Stegostoma tigrinum: one gene and its partner. The protein of the gene in region 1 binds, or shares a complex with, the protein of each later gene. Links are inferred from orthologs where the notes say so. Each region holds a gene or a part of one and is shown on either strand. Other genes may lie near its edges.

What was found.
Region 2: the proteins of gpaa1 (region 1) and pigu are in contact, whole or in part, in a cryo-EM structure (PDB 8IMX), measured with the Homo sapiens proteins. The link is inferred for Stegostoma tigrinum from reciprocal best matches to the Homo sapiens genes GPAA1 and PIGU. Residues at the interface, in NP_003792.1 of Homo sapiens: Gln245, Leu310, Arg311, Arg313, Phe358, Leu359, Ile371, Ala389, Leu390, Trp393, His397, Leu500, Ile504, Leu508, Cys512, Leu515, Thr516; in NP_536724.1 of Homo sapiens: Tyr349, Ile355, Phe356, Cys360, Ile363, Val364, Leu367, Leu368, Val371, Leu372, Leu375, Ile377, Tyr378, Ala379, Gly380, Ser381, Phe386.

The regions. Positions count from the first base shown.
Region 1 is NC_081355.1:159,737,877-159,746,191, forward strand, and holds the start of gpaa1 (glycosylphosphatidylinositol anchor attachment 1 protein), read left to right. Parts: upstream 1-5,124; 5' UTR 5,125-5,240; intron 5,241-7,050; exon of another isoform or gene 7,051-7,334; intron 7,335-8,315. UniProt on the Homo sapiens protein: Component of the glycosylphosphatidylinositol-anchor (GPI-anchor) transamidase (GPI-T) complex that catalyzes the formation of the linkage between a proprotein and a GPI-anchor and participates in GPI anchored protein biosynthesis. Binds GPI-anchor.
Region 2 is NC_081372.1:12,865,872-12,874,370, reverse strand, and holds the start of pigu (phosphatidylinositol glycan anchor biosynthesis class U protein), read left to right. Parts: upstream 1-4,999; 5' UTR 5,000-5,051; coding exon 5,052-5,181; intron 5,182-8,499. UniProt on the Homo sapiens protein: Component of the glycosylphosphatidylinositol-anchor (GPI-anchor) transamidase (GPI-T) complex that catalyzes the formation of the linkage between a proprotein and a GPI-anchor and participates in GPI anchored protein biosynthesis.

The DNA of each region.
Region 1 (8,315 bases):
AGAGGGGGATGGGGTGAGGGTTCTGGAATAAATAGGGAGAGAGGGGGAGGCGGACCGAAGATGGAGAGAAAAGAAGATAGGTGGAGAGAGTATAGGTGGGGAGGTAGGGAGGGGATAGGTCAGTCCAGGGGAGATGGACAGGTCAAGGAGGTGGGATGAGGTTAGTAGGTAGATGGGGGTGCGGCTTGGGGTGGGAGGAAGGGATGGGTGAGAAGAAGAACTGGTTAGGGAGGCGGAGACAGGTTGGACTGGTTTTGGGATGCAGTGGGTGGAGAGGAAGAGCTGGGCTGGTTGTGTGGTGCAGTGGGGGGAGGGGACGAACTGGGCTGGTTTAGGGATGCAGTAGGGGAAGGGGAGATTTTGAAACTGGTGAAGTCCACATTGATACCATTAGGCTGCAGGGTTCCCAGGCGGAATATGAGTTGCTGTTCCTGCAACCTTCGGGTGGCATCATTGTGGCACTGCAGGAGGCCCATGATGGACATGTCATCTAAAAAATGGGAGGGGGAGTGGAAATGGTTTGCGACTGGGAGGTGCAGTTGTTTGTTGCAAACTGAGCGGAGGTGTTCTGCAAAGCGGTCTCCAAGCCTCCGCTTGGTTTCCCCAATGTAGAGGAAGCCACACCGGGTACAGTGGATGCAGTATACCACATTGGCAGATGTGCAGGTGAACCTCTGCTTAATGTGGAATGTCATCTTGGGGCCTGGGATGGGGGTGAGGGAGGAGGTGTGGGGGCAAGTGTAGCATTTCCTGCGGTTGCAGGGGAAGGTGCCAGGTGTGGTGGGGTTGGAGGGCAGTGTGGAGCGAACAAGGGAGTCACGGAGAGAGTGGTCTCTCTTTGGACACTGTTGGCGGGGGGGGGGGTCCTACCAGGGGAAGGCCATAGCGGGCAGGTCTCTGGCCCTGTGGCACAGAAGGGAAGAGGGCGCGGAATAGGAGAAAACCCACGCAGACACGGAGAACATGCAAACTCCACTCAGTCGTCCAAGAGTGGAATCAAATCCTCTATGAGGCAGCAGTGCTAACCACTGTGCCACCATAGAGAGATCTCTATGACTCTAATAGCTGGCTTCAATTAATGTATTGGCTGAGGTTATCTGTGGGCTGGTGACCTACCTGGATATGAGGCACAAACAGGCGGTTCTGTGGATGCGAACGAGATGAGCGGATGGTATGTTGCCTCTCGGGTACCAGGGTCCGTGATGTCTCGGATTGTTTCTTCGAGATCCTTCAGGAGGGAGGGTGAGCCACCAGCAGGAATGCTACACATCGGTACCAATGACAGAGGGAGAAAAAGGACAGAGAATGTGAAAAGTGAATACAGGGAGTTAGGTTGGAAGCTGAAGACCAGGACAAACAGGGTAATTATCTCTGGATTGCTACCAGTGCCACGTGATAACAAGGTAAGAAATAGGGAGAGCGTGCAGCTAAACACGTGGCTACAGGGTGGGTGTAGGAGGGAGGGCTCCCATTATGTGGATAATTGGAGCACATTCTGGGGAAGGTGGGACTTGTACAGTAAGGACGGGTTGCACCTGAACCGGAAGGGCACAAATATCCTGGGAGGGAGATTTGCTCGAGCTGTACGGGATGATTTAAACTCGATTGGCAGGGGGTGGGGAACCGGATCTGTAATTCAGAGAATGAGGTATTCAGTCTGCCAGCAGACACAATTAGGGAGTGAGGTTGTTTATAAAGAAATGCAGCCAATGGAGTGTAATCGTGGACACTGAGCTGGTTTGAGGTGTGTAGACCTCAATGCTAGACGTATCAGAAATAAGGCGAATGAACTTAGAGCATGGGTCGGTACTTGGAACTATGATATTGTGGCCATTACAGAAACTTGGGTAACTCGGAGCGAGGGATGGTTGTTGGAAGTTCCGGGATTTAGATGCTTTCTAAGAAATAGGGAGGGGGGTAAAAGAGGCGGGGGAGTGGCACTGAGTCAGTGCGAGTATAGCAGCTACTGAAAGGCAGTTTGAGAATGATATGTCTACAGAGTCAGTTTGGGTTGAGGTCAGGAACAAGAAAGGAGCAGTCACTTTGTTGGGGGTATTTTACAGACCCCCTAATAGTTGCAGAGAAGTGGAGGAGCGGATTGGGAGGTGGATACTGGAAAGGTGCAGAAGTCACAGGGTTGTAGACATGGGTATCCTCAACATTCCAAATATGGATTGGAAACATTTTAGTTGTAATAGTTTGATGGAGCAGATTTTGTCCGGCATGTTCAGGAAGGATTCCTGGCACAGTGTGTGGTTAGACCAACACGAGGGGAGGTTACATTGGATTTGGTGCTTGGCAATGAACCGGGCCAAGTGTTAGACCTGTTGGTAGGAGAGCATTTTGGCAGTAGCGATCATAACTCAGTTACTTTTGCAATAGTCATGGAAAAGGATAGTACATACAGCAGGGTAAGGGTTATTAATTTAGGGAAGGGTAATTACAGTTCTGTTTGGCAAGAACTAGGTAACATAAAATGGGAACAGAGGCTGTCAGGGAAGAGCTTTATTGAAATGTGGAGATTGTTTAAGGAATGCATACTGTGTGTGCTGGATATGTTTGTCCCTAGCAGGCAGGGAAGATGCGGTCAAGTGAGGGAGCCTTGGTTCTCAAGAGAGGTCAAACGACTGGTTAAGAGGAAGAAGGAGGTTTATATAAGGTTTAGGAAACAAGGAACGGAGAAGGCTGTAGAGGAATACAGGTTATCCAGGAAGGAACTGCACAGCGGGCTTAGGAGAGCTCTAAGGGAACATGAGAAAATCTTGGCAGATAGGATCAAGGAAAACTCCAAGGCTTTATACACGTTCTTGAGGAATAAGAGAATGACCAGAGAAAGGTTAGGGCCAGTCAAGGATTGTTAAGGGAATTTGTTTACGGAGGCTAAAGAGATAGGGGAGATCCTTAATGAATATTTTTCTTCAGTATTCACAACTGAGAGGGACCTAGTTGTGGCTAGAGGAGGTCGATGTTAGTAAGGAAGATGTACAAGGAATTCTGAGGAAGTTGAAGATAGATACGTCCCCTGGGCCTGATGGGATTTATCCAAGGATTCTATGGGAAGTGAGGGAAGAGATCGCAGGTGATGATTTTTTTTGTCCTCACTGCCCACGGTATAGTGCTAAAAGATTGGAAAGTGGCAAACGCCATTTCCTTGTTCAGAAAAGAGAACAGGGATAACCCCGGAAATTACAGGCCAGTTAGTATTACGTCAGTGGTGGGCAAATAATAGGAAAGGACTCTGAGAGACAGGATTTATGATCACTTGGATAGGCACAGTTTGATTAGTGATAGTCAGCATGGATTTGTGAGGGGTAGATCATGCCTCACAAACCTTATTGAACTCTTTGAAGCGGTGACCAAACACATGGATGAAGGTAGAGCAGTGGATGTGGTATACATGGATTTAAGTAAGGTGTTTGATAAGGTTCCCCATGGTAGGCTCATGCAGAAGGTAAGGAGGCATGGGACAGGGGGAAATGTGGCAGATTGGATTCAGAATTGGCTGACCCTGAGAAGACAAAGTAGTGGCAGGGGATGGAAAATATTCAACATGGTGATGAGTTGAGGAAGCATTGGAAAAGGTGCAGAGGAGATTTACCGGAATGTGTCCTGGAATGGAGCGAAGGTCTTACGAGGAAAGGTTGAGAGAGCTAGGGCTTTTCTCTTTAGAACGACGAAGGATGAGAGGTGACTTGATAGAGGTGTACAAAATGATCAGAGGTACAGATAGAGTGGGCAGCCAGAGACTTTTTCCTAGGGTGGAGGTGGCTATTATAAGGGGGCATCGTTTTAAAGTGAGTGGAGGTAGATATCAGGGAGGTGTCAGAGGCAGGTTCTTTACTCAGAGAGTGGTCGGGACGAGGAATACATTGCCAGAGAGGGTAGTGGAGTCGGCCTCATTAGGGGCATTTAAGCGGCTATTAGATAGGCTTATGGCTGATAGTATAATGTAGGGGTGGAGGTTAGATAGACCTTAGGTTTAGGGTAAAAGTTTGGCGCAACATTGTGGGCCGAAGGGCCTGTACTGTACTATTTTCTGTGTTCTCCATCCGACACTCCTTCAGACACTGCTGCTGGTCATTGGTTGTCAGAGTCCTCTGCTGTCCCTTTTGCTGATACTTCTGCTCCTGCAGATGCCCAGGCCTAGCTGTGGACCTGGAGCCTTGGCTTAGCCTGTGAGTCTGAGCTCGGGCAGTCAGCCTGGGACCTGCTTCTCAGTCGCCATGAGACCCCAGGCTGGGGTGGAGCAATGTCTGGCTCGTCCTGGCATTCCTGCCACCGTCGGCTTCCTTTTTCACCGGCCATTCTCCAGGCTTGAAGAAAGGAAGGAAAACAGTAAAAGCAAAAGGAAGAGAAAAGAAGAAAGCAGACATTGAAGAGTGATAGTAGGAACTGCAGATGCTGGAGAATCTGTGATAACAAAGTGTGAAGCTGGACGAACACAGCAGGCCAGGCAGCATCAGAGGAGCAGGAAAGCTGATGTTTCGGGCCTAGACACTTCTGCAGAAGGGTCTCTCCCTCAGAAACGTCAGCCTTCCTGCTCCTCTGATGCTGCTTGGCCTGCTGTGTTCGTCCAGCTTCACACTTTGTTATCTCAGACATTGAAGAGAGATGGTTATCATTGCAATATGTCTCCTTTCTGTATTCTGACTCTTTGGTGTTGGATATCCTTCTTACTACAGTGATGTTGTCAGCAAACTTATGGATGGCATTTGTTCAGAATTTGGCAACAGTTATAGATGTGCAGCAAGTACAGTAGGGGATGAAGAGTGCATTCCTGGGGGGGGCTCCAGAATTGAGTGTTATTGTGGAGGAGGTGCAGTTACCTGAAAGCTGCAGATCTAGGTCTCAGTGTTGATCTGTAATGTAAGGGTTATAAATGTTATCAGGGATTTTGCCTCGACCACACTAACAGGCAGTGTCCATCATTCAACAATTACCAGCCTGCCATTCATCCAACTCAACTAACCAACTCTTAGCCCAATCCAACCTTCCAATTGAGAAATACATTTGTAACTGCAGTGGCACTCTGCCGGCCAGAGCTGGCGCTGCTGACAAACATTTGATTTGAACTTTCTGCTCAGACGGAACCTCTTGCCACATCTACGTCTTGTTGTTATGGAGGCCGGAAAATGTGTGCGCCGCTGTACACTGTCCGGGTGGTGCCGTTTCCGGTCTGCGGCAAGGGGTAGCGCTTTGAGGGCCAGGAGCAGACGCAGTGGTAGTGTCCGCGGCTCGGGGTGAGCGAGGGCCGGGGCGTTAGAACACAAACGCACCCCGCGCCAGGCACAGATCGGCGGAGCGGATGGGGGCGCTGATGTCATGGAAACCGCGTCTGGCTGTGTCCCCACCAAACCATTCCCTCCACCGCCTTCAACTGTTCGGCCTCTCCCCCCCCCCACTCCCTCTCCCCATTCCCCGCCCGGACTCCCCCCCAAACTCTCCCCCCTCCCCCTCCACTACCCTCCCTCCTCCCCCAGACAACCTCCGGGCATTGTCCGATACCCCCACTGCCACACGCCCGCCCTCCCTCCCCCCCAACTCTCCCCCCTCCCCCCCCAACTCTTCCCCCCTCCCCCCCCAACTCTTCCCCCTCCCCCCCAACTCTTCCCCCCTCCCCCCCAACTCTCCCCCCTCCCCCCCAACTCTCCCCCCCTCCCCCCCCACCTCTCCCCCCCTCCCCCCCCAACTCTCCCCCCTCCCCCCCCAACTCTCCCCCCCTCCCCCCCAACTCTCCCCCCCTCCCCCCCCAACTCTCCCCCCTCCCCCCCAACTCTCCCCCCTCCCCCCCCAACTCTCCCCCCTCCCCCCAACTCTCCCCCTCCCCCCCAACTCTTCCCCCCTCCCCCCCAACTCTTCCCCTCCCCCCCAACTCTTCCCCCCTCCCCCCCAACTCTTCCCCCCTCCCCCCCAACTCTCCCCCCTCCCCCCCCACTCTCCCCCTCCCCCCCCAACCTCCCCCCTCCCCCCCCAACTCTCCCCCCTCCCCCAACTTCCCCTCTCCCCCCTCCCCCCAACTCTCCCCCCTCCCCCCCAACTCTCCCCCCTCCCCCCCAACTCTCCCCCCTTCCCCCCCAACTCTCCCCCCTTCCCCCCCAACTCTCCCCCCCCCAACTCTCCCCCCCCCAACTCTCCCCCCCCCAACTCTCCCCCCCCCAACTCTCCCCCCCCCAACTCTCCCCCCCCAACTCTCCCCCCCCCAACTCTCCCCCCCCCCAACTCTCCCCCCCCCAACTCTCCCCCCCCAACTCTCCCCCCCCCAACTCTCTCCCCCCAACTCTCCCCCCCCAACTCTCCCCCCCCAACTCTCCCCCCCCAACTCTCCCCCCCCAACTCTCCCCCCCCAACTCTCCCCCCCCCAACTCTCCCCCCCCCAACTCTCCCCCCCCCAACTCTCCCCCCCCAACTCTCCCCCCCCCAACTCTCCCCCCCCCAACTCTCCCCCCCCCAACTCTCCCCCCCCCAACTCTCCCCCCCCCCCAACTCTCCCCCCTTCCCCCCCCAACTCTCCCCCCTTCCCCCCCCCAACTCTCCCCCCTTCCCCCCCCCCCCAACTCTCCCCCCTTCCCCCCCCAACTCTCCCCCCTTCCCCCCCCCCCAACTCTCCCCCCTTCCCCCCCCCCAACTCTCCCCCTTTCCCCCCCCCAACTCTCCCCCCTTCCCCTCCCTCCACCCCCCAACTCTCCCCCCTCCACTCTCCCCCCTCCCCCTCCCTCCACCCCCCAACTCTCCACTCTCCCCCCTCCACTCTCCCCCCTTCCCCTCCACTCTCCCCCCTTCCCCTCCACTCTCCCCCCTTCCCCTCCACTCTCCCCCCTTCCCCTCCACTCTCCCCCCTTCCCCTCCACTCCTCCCCCCTTCCCCTCCACTCCTCCCCCCTTCCCCTCCACTCCCCCCCCCCCTTCCCCTCCACTCCCCCCCCCTTCCCCTCCACTCCCCCCCCCCCCCCCCCAACTTTCGGGACGTGTGGTGAAGACGCTGCTTTTTCGTTAATACTCACAGACTTGTTGCGTTCCTGCAGCACAAACCGAAAGTCTTCATGTGGTCGCTTACACAGGCCGCAGCCACAGGAGACCGAAGTCCCACAGAGATGCTGGCTGTTGTATCTCCTACAGGTTTATCTGTGAGGGAGTGTAATGATGCCACATGATGGCATGCTTTGTGCCCACCTATTTGTTTGGAAGCTCCTCTAATGTTATATACAGTTGCTCCCAGTCACTGTTCCTTTGATATAGTCACTCACACCTCTGAAAGTAGCCATTCAAGTCCAGTGTTATCTCCTCACAGTGTAACCCAGTCAGTCCTCCTCCTGCTCGATCCGCCTAGCTCTGCAGGTTAATTTCATTTTGAATTCATTCAACGTCTCCACTTCACTGACCTCGAGGGCAGAGAATTCCAGGTTGTTGCCACTCTGTGTAAAAATAAAATTCTTCCTCATGTTCCCGTTTTGTCTCCTGCCCAGAATGTTGAAGCTGTGTTCCCTTCGACCACTGAGCACAGCTCCCCCCCCCCCTACCTAAACCTGTAATAATCTTGTAAACTGATCAACAATCCCAAAATCATTTTTGGTCTAAGAAGGAGAGCCCCATCTTCAGTAAATTTGCAATGCCTACCACCAGCCCCAACCCCCCAACCAAAATAAAGGTCATGGTATCATTTTGGTTTTGTTCATGGGATGTGGGTGTGTCTGACAAGACCAGAATTTATTCATACTTATTGTTGAACTGAGTGCACTAAAGACATTTAAGAGTACGTACAGCAATGTGGTACGGTGGCTCAGTGGTTAGCACTGCTGCCTCGCAGCCCCAGGGACCTGGGTTCGATTCCACCCTCGGGCGACTGTCTGTCTGTGTGGAGTTTGCACATTCTCCCCGTGTCTGCGTGGGTTTCCTCCGGGTGCTCCGGTTTCCTCCCACAGTCCAAAGATTAGATGAGTTGGCTACGGGAAACATGGGGATAGGGTAGAGGGCTGGGTCTGGAAGGGTTGCTGTTTGGAGGATTGTTTCAGACTCGATGGGCTGAATGGCCTTTTTCCCCACTGCAGGGATTCTATGATTTCCTTCCCTAAAGACATCGGTGAACCAGAAGGGATTTTATGGTAATTGACTACGGATACACGATCACCATTGGCATAGTTTTTTATTGAATATATGTTTCGCCATTGGCCACAATGTGATTTGAACCCAGAACAGTCACCTGGGGCTACCAGCATCTCCCAGCACCACTGTCTCCCCAGCTACTCTGTGAATATAGTCTAGAGCATGCTCATGTTTCTCATCTCCTGCAGGTTGTTCAGCTACTGTCCTATCTATAAC
Region 2 (8,499 bases), on another chromosome or scaffold:
ATGGGACCTGAATCTTGAAATTCCCCCATCCTAGGGAAAAGACCACTACCATTATCTTTATCTATATCCCTCATTATTTTATAAACTTCCATAAGATCGCCTCTCAAGCTCTAACACTTCAGTTTAAAAAAAGTCCCAGCCTACCACTACAACTCAGACCTTCCATACCTGGCAACATCCTGGTAAATTTCTTCTGAACCCTCTCCAGCTTAATAATATCCTTCCTATAACTGGGAGACCAGAACTGGACACAGTACTCCAGAAGAGGCCTCACCAATGTCCTCCACAACCTCAACATGACTTCACAACTTCCATACTGGAAAAGACTGAGCAATGAAGGCAAGTGTACCAAATGCCTTTTCAACCACTCTGTCTACATGTGACATAAAGAATTATGTACCTGAACTCCTAGGTGCCTTTGTTCTGTAACACTACCAAAGGCACTACCATTTTAACTGTATAAGCCCTACCCTTGCTGTACAAAAATGCAGTACCCCACATTTATCCAAATTGAGCTCCATTTGTCATTGTTTAGCTTTTGCTCACAAATCTCTCTCGCTATTTTTGGTTGGAGGAAAGTATAGAGGGGATGTCAGAGGCGGGTTCTTTACACAGAGAGTTGTGAGAGCATGGAATGCGTTGCCAGCAGCAGTTGTGGAAGCAAGGTCATTGGGGTCATTTAAGAGACTGCTGGACATGCATATGGTCACAGAAATTTGGGGGTGCATACATGAGGATCAATGGTCGGCACAACATTGTGGGCTGAAGGGCCTGTTCTGTGCTGTACTGTTCTATGTTCTATGTTCTATCAAACCAAAATGTTGAAAACAACCAGATCCCAGGATAATTGGACTTGCGTTTCTGTATTGCTACCTCAAGCTGCCCCAAAGCCCTTTACAGTCAATTAAATACTTTGTCAGAATGCCAGAAATTCTGTTGACTTTCTGGAGGTGTAAAGTGCAGGAGTAATTCATGCTCTGAACACTAAAGCAATTATAATTATGATAATTAGGAAAGCCAAACAAGTAGCAGAAGTACAAGGGAGCATAGGAGTGTTTGACTGTATCAATCTCTCCTCTCAGCGTTCAGTGAAATGCTGAGGACATCTTCAGTTTGTAGGGAGCATTGCTGACATTTAAGGTCTGGGGCCACAATTTCAGATGATTTTGTTTGGCTGGTAGAAGTGTGAGAGGGCAGAACAGAGTGCCAACTACAAACGTGGTGGACAGGTATAACAGTCAAAGAAAAAAGGTCTTTTTGAAACCACAGAGCATTTCATATGAAGCGAGGCTGGATATGGTCAGGCAGAGTAGGAACTGCCGATGCTGGAGAATCTGAGATAACAAGGTGTAGAGGTTGTTTTCTTTGGAGCATAGAAAGTTGACGGAGAACCTGACAGAGACGTAAAAGATAATGAGCAGCATGGTCATGTAAAACTGAAAGCAGCAGTTCCTCTTAATTTAAGCATCAATACAAGGGGACATATTTGTAAAGTGAAAAGGCAGGAGGTTTATAGGGATGTGAGGGAAAACGTTTTCACCAAAGAGGGTGGTGGTGGTGGTCTGGAATGCACTGCCTGGGGCAGTAATTGGGGTGGGAAACCTCACAACTTCCACTTGGATGTGCAGTTGAAGCATAATAACATTCAGGAAATTTAGTGCAGGAGAGTGGGACAAGTATAGCTAGTAGTATTTTCAGCAGTACAGACCTGATGGGCTGAAGGATCTCTTCTTCACTGTGTAATACTATGATTCAAAGATGTGAATCCACTGCTAAGGTTTTATTTGGCCACTCTTCTGTTCGTTTTAGCTTAAGTTAAATAACAACCTTTACGTTACTTACCTACACGGGAAGTTACAAACTCTCCAAAATGTACAAACCCATCACAGAGATTTATGTACGGACCACCACAAAAGATAAAATGCTTCATCTCCCAACGATCCCTTCTTGTGCAGGGATATCCATGAACAGCTGAGAGGGTGGGAAGAGTCAAGTGCCAGCAGTTGTGGTAACAGCAGCACAGGTAGAAAGAGGGATGAAATATCGCAGGAAACATGGTGTAAGAGGGAGGGCTTTAGACTTCTGGGACATTGGAGTAAGTCGGTGGGAGACACAGATCCTATAAAAGCCAACATGGTTGCATCTAAACAGAGCTAGGGCCAATTTCCTTACAGGGTGCTTGCTATGTGGAGGATTTGAACTAAGGAGGCAGGGGCATGGGAGTGAAGAAGTAACAATAGATAGAAATGCCAAGGCGTGTAAAATACAAATAGAGATGTTATACTCCAAAAAAGAACAGCTTTTAATTCATTTGTGGGAATGTTGAACATCACTGGCTGGCCAGCCAGCATTTATTGCCTGTCCGTAGTTGCCCTTGAGAAGGAGGCAGTGAGCTGCCTTTTTGAACTGCCGCAGTCCTCCTGCTGTAGGTTGACCCACACTACCATCAGGGAGAGAATACCAGCATTTTGAATGAGCAACAGTGAAGGAACGGCAATATAGTCAACAAATTTTCTGAAGGAGAGTCCTGACCCAAAACATCAGCTTTCCTGCTCCTCTGATGCTGCCCGGCCCGCTGTGTTCCTCCAGCTCCACACTGTTATCTCTGACTTTAGCATCGGCAGTTCTTACTGTCTCTCCATTCTCACCATCTGTTTTAAAACTGCAATATTGATTCTCAGTCTGTTTTCAAAAACACATTTGTTGAGTGTACTGTATCCTACAGTGATTCAGTATCAATGCAGCACTCAACAGATATTCCTGATTTCTTTTTTCGAATTTCTTCCAATATTTTCACTAAGGAGAATGCCACATCTACTGGCTCACTGAGAGCAAGAATCCGCTTTTTACTATACTTATGCTCTTTTTAGCTTAAGCTAAAAGTCAACATTTACCTTGCTTACCCACACGAGAAATGATAAACTCTTCCGCATTTGGAACCCACCACAGAAACTGGCACCAGAAAAAAAAAGGTTTCACAATCCTGACATCTCCAATGAGGGAAACTTCAAAACACCAGGCTTCATTTTTGCTTTCTTTTTTCAATCCTTTATTTGCCTATATATCCTCCACCTTCATAGCTGTACTCAACTCTAATGATTCAAAATGGCAATGTGACCTTGTTTCAGTACCTAGCCAATTCAACTGTCCAATTAGAGTTTGAAATTCCTTCACTTCAGTTTTCTAAGCTATTGTGTCTCTTTTGTGAAGCCTAAATCTGACAAATATCAATGCAGCTAACATTTTCTAAATAAGACTGCTGATGTAAAGTGACACTTAATCCATTATAAATGATTTCCAAACCAATGTACTTCAAAGCCTAAACTCTAGTTTTGAATTCTGCTTTATGCCCATTTATGACAATGTGTTCAAATTTAATGCTATTATGCCACAAATAAAAATCTACATACATCACAAATTTGCCGAAAACTGCCCTTCATGACACCAATAAAACATGGCAGGGTCTCTTTTAACTGAAGCCAACCCAACTTAAATATGACAGAATGTACTGTACACTTTCATTCATCTTCCAGACTGACCCCACTGCATTTGATGTCCCTGTTGGATGATGAAGACACATTTCCTTCTGACAATGGTCTTCCTGCAGAAATGTAACTTTAATATGAGTTGATCTATTCTGCTCCCTGGTCAACATCTGTCTCAGTCTTACTGCAGCGTTCCAGTGAAGGAAAACTCAATTGGCCAAGGAGAAAGTAGCCCAGTAAAAGGTTAAATACTGCGGATGCTGGGGATCTGAATATTTTAAAAAAAAACAGAAAGCATTGGAGAATCTCAGCAGGTCTGCAAGTATGAGACTCAAACCATTATATCTATTTCACTCTCCTTAGATGTTGGCAGACCTGCTGAGTTTCTCCAGCACTTTCTGTACTTATTAAAGTAGCCCAGCATCTTATTCTGCAGCAAACGTAGGTTAAGAATCTAATGACGACCATGAAACCATTGTCAATTTTTGGGAAAACCCACCAAGTGCACCAACAGCAATGTGGTTGATATTTAACTGCTCTCCAGATTGGGCAATTAGGGGTGGACAATAAATGGACAAAAAAAGCCAGTGACACTTCCATTCCATGAATGAATAAAAATAGGGCAGAGGCAGTCATGCCTGAGTGGGGCACCTGGGGGGAAAAAAAAGCTAGGCCAAGGTTAACACAGGGTTGAAAAGTCATGGCACCATCACGGCAAAGAGTCGACCATCGTGGCACAATTTATCAGCTTACAAGATGCTAAAAAGTCTAGACATCCAATACCTATACTTTATCTGCAAAATTGCTGGGAGCTTCCAGTTGGCTGCCATTTATACCCACCACCCTGCTCCCTGGCCAACATCTGTGTCTCGGGCTTACTGCAGTGTTCCAGCCAAGAACATTTCCCACTTGGGGACCTACAGCCTTCAGGACTCCATATCAAGTTCAATCATTGTAGGGCCTGAGCACCTTCTTCCATGTCCTTTACCTCAACCCTCAGAGGCCAGGCCTTGGTGTCAACATGGGGTACTACCACAAACCACCCCACTATCAGCCAGTAATGGTCTCCATTAGCAGACATTCCTTTATCTGCCCAGTTTCTTTTTAATGAAGGACACTGGACCCAAAACATTAACTCTGCTTTCTCTCCACAGATGCTACCAGACCTGCTGAGCTTTCCCAACACTTTCTGGATTTTTTTTTCTTTTGTTACTTAAAATGTTTCTTTTTGCTAATGAGTCTCAAAGGAAAAGTCTTAAAGGAGGGTATTAAACGCGTTCCACCGCAGCATCCCCACAATACCTGTTCGGCCCCACTCTGATGCGGGGCGTTCCGCGAAAGCAGAGACCACCCATCCCTCGGCGGCCACCGTCGCGGAGGCTTCGGGACGTGAGCCGTGTGATGCACCACGGTCCCTGTAGTCCAGGCGGTGTGGGGCGAGGACTGCAGCGGCCGTTTGTGTGTGTGTGTGTGGTGGGGGGGGCGGCGTCACATCCGTTTCCGTTCTTCCCTTTTTCCCGCCCCCTCTCGCCCGCCCGCCCGCCCGCCGGGCCGGTGTTTGGGACAATGGCCGCTTCCTTGCTCTTGGTGCTGGTTGTGGCCGTGACAGTCAGGGCTGTGCTGTTCCGCTCTTCGCTGGTGGATTTTATCTCAGAGCGAGTGGAAGTGGTCTCCCCTCTGAATTCGTGGAAGCGAGGTATCTGTTTCGTGTATGTTTAACCATTCGTTTGGCCCGTTGCAGCCTCCCTCCCGCCGCCCCTCTCTTGTCAGTGTGGATTGGGCTCTAAGGGCTTCTGATTGTCACTTCATTTGCAAGCTGCAGGAATCCCCCATCAGCACTGCCATCCGTTTTTTAAATGTTTAATGCTTAATTCATAACGTGTGGCACGCAAAAATGCGCATTCCAGTGCTGTTGCTAGGATCTCAGGAAAGTATAACAACGGCGATCAAATTTATTGCTGAGATCTTGCATTTAAACAGCTCTACATCCCGTCTTTGCAAAACCTTTCCCCCTGCAATTTCTAGCCACAGATATGTAGTGGCACCTCTGTGAGCAGGTGCTGCAGTTATTCTTGTTTTGCAGGACTTACTGGTCAGCAGTGAGCTGCAGGATCAAACTTTTTTGATTTTTTTTTGTTGTGTTCTCTCTTTTTAAAAAAATAATCAGTCATACCTTTCACACCATTTGGGATGGTACAAGGCACTTTACTGCAGGTGAAGTACGTTTGATTTGTGGTCGTAGAGATGTACAGCATAGCGACAGACCGTTCGGCCCAATTCGTCCATGCAACCAGACATTCCAATCAGACTGAGTCCCATTTGCCAGTATTTGGCCAGTATCTCTCTAAACCTTTCATATTCACAAGCCCATCCAGATGCCTTTTAAATATTGTAATTGTACCTGTTTCCACCACCACACCTGTCTGCTCATTCCATACGCACAACACCCTATGTATGGAAAAAGTTGCCCCTTAGGTTCCTTTTAAATTATTTCACTCATCATTAACCGATGCACTCTACTTTTGGGCACCCCTACATTGGGAAAGAGACCTGGGCTATTCACCTTTTTCATTCTCATCATGATTTTATAAACTTCGACAATGTCACCCCTCAGTCTCCGATGCTCCAAGGAAAATATTCAGTTTCTCCCTATTTTTCAAACCCTCCAGCCCTGGCATCATCCTGGTAAATCCTTTTCCTGAACCCTTTCAAGTTTCACAACATCTTTCCTACAGCAGGGAGACCCAGAATTGAATACAAAATTCCAAAAGTGGCCTAACCAATGCCCTCCCAACTCCTATACTCAGTGCACTCATGTCACTGTTGTAATACAAGAAAAGTGGCAACCAACTTGTACATAGCAAATTCCCACAAACAGTAGTGTAAAGACCAGAATTTCTGTTTTGTAATATTAATGAAGAGATAAATATAGGCCAAAATACCAGTGGGAAACTTGCCACCACCTCTTTGAAAAAATGATTTTGGATTCTTAAGGTACATCAGAGAGAGTATGCCACGTCTTCATTTAATATCTTATCTAGCCAATTCCATCTCTGACATTGCAGCACTCCCTCAATACTGCACTGGATGATCAGCCTGCAGTTTTAAGCTCCAGTTTTAGTGTGGGACTTGAATCCATATCAGTTTGAGTCAGAGGTAGATTTACTCATTAGGACTCTGGATGAATCACAGACACAGGCAAATCACTTACATCTCATTATGAAGGATAATCCTGACATTGCAATGCATCGCGTGTACTCACCTGAGCACGTACCCATGCTTGTCAGGTATCTATGTTGTGTGTGCCTTGAGCCCATCTCAACTACCAAGCCCTTCAACTTTAGAACATTTCCAGACAGTTGCTAACCCTACTTTTGACTTGTTTCTGGCAAGAGAAATTTTGTGCTGTTTAACACTTAAGACGATACATTTATGGTCGGTTGTGTTGGAAGCAGTTTAACTTGTTGTTAGGGCTGTCAATAGTTCCATGAAGAACAATCATGATTAATCCTTCTTTCTGTTAATCTTAGTTTTAACCATGTATTTAAATGCTTATTTACCAATTTTACTTTTCAAACAGCACTATTAAATATCTTGATGTCTTGTTTTGGTAACTGTGTCAAGATGCCTGCCAGTAATGGGGGAATATGGCTGACTGAAATTGGATAAATGTGTAGGCAGCCTTGGTGGTTATACATTTTAGAATTGACAGCATAATTCAGATACATCAAAAAATCCTATAGGAAACCTGAAGGAAATTTAAAGAGAATTGCTTCCATCCCAGCCTTTGGTCACACAGTCACTGCTGTAAAATTTACGGATCCCTTTTGCTTTCAATTTTCCCATTCACTAGACGATTTGGATGTGAATGTAGGAGGAATGGTTAGTAAGTTTGCAAAAGGCATCAAAATTGGTAGTGTGGTGGACAGTGAAGAAGATTATTGAAGAGTACTATGGGACATTGATCAGACAAACCGAGGAGTGTCAGATGGTGTTTAATTTAGATAAATGTGACGTGTTCAATTTTCATAAGGCAAATCAGGGCATGACTTAACACTTAATCCTCGAGTCCTGGCGAGTCATAGTGTCATACAGCATGGAAACTGACCCTTCGGTCCAACCAACCCATGCCAACAATAATCCCAAACAAATCCAGTACCACCTGACTGCGCTCGGCCCATATCCCTCCGAACATTTCTATTTGTTACTTATCTAAATGTCTTTTAAATGTTGTAACTGTGGTCACATCCACCACTTCCTCTAGAATTTCATTCCACACACGAACCATTCTCTGTGTAAAAAAACAAAAAAGTTGCCCCTCATTTTTTTTAAAATCTTTTTCCTCTTACCTTAAAAGTATGTGCCCTAGTCTTGAAATCCCCGACCCTAGGAAAAAGACACCTGCTATTCACTGTGCCCCTCATTATTTTATAAATCTCAATCTACGTTCTAGTGAAAAAAGTCACAGTCCTTATAACTCATCTTTGATATCCGGCAACATCCTGGTAAATCTCTTCTGAACTCTGTCCAGAATGATAATATCTTTCCTGTAACAGGGTGACCAGAACTGCACACAGCACCCCAGAGGAGACCTCATCAACATCCTATACATCCTCAACATAACATCTCAATTCCTACATTCCAAGGTCTGAGTACTGGAGTGTTGCTCGATAAAGAGACCTTGGAGTGCAGGTTTGTGCCTCCTTAATGGTGGAGTTACAGGTAGACAGGATAGTGAAGAAGGTACTTGGTATGCCTGTTTTTAATTAGTCAGTGCATTGAGGACGAGAGTTGGGAGGTCATGTTGCAGCTGTACAGGACATTGGTTAGACCACTTTTGAAATTGCGTTCAATTCTGGTCTCCCTACTGTAGGAAGGATGTTGTTAAACTTGAAAGGGTGCAGAAAAGATTGAAAAGGATGTGACCAGGTTTGGAGGGTTTGAGTTCTCGGGAGAGGCTGAATGGGCTGGGATATTTTCTGTGGAGTGTCGGAGGTTGAGGGGTGACCTTATA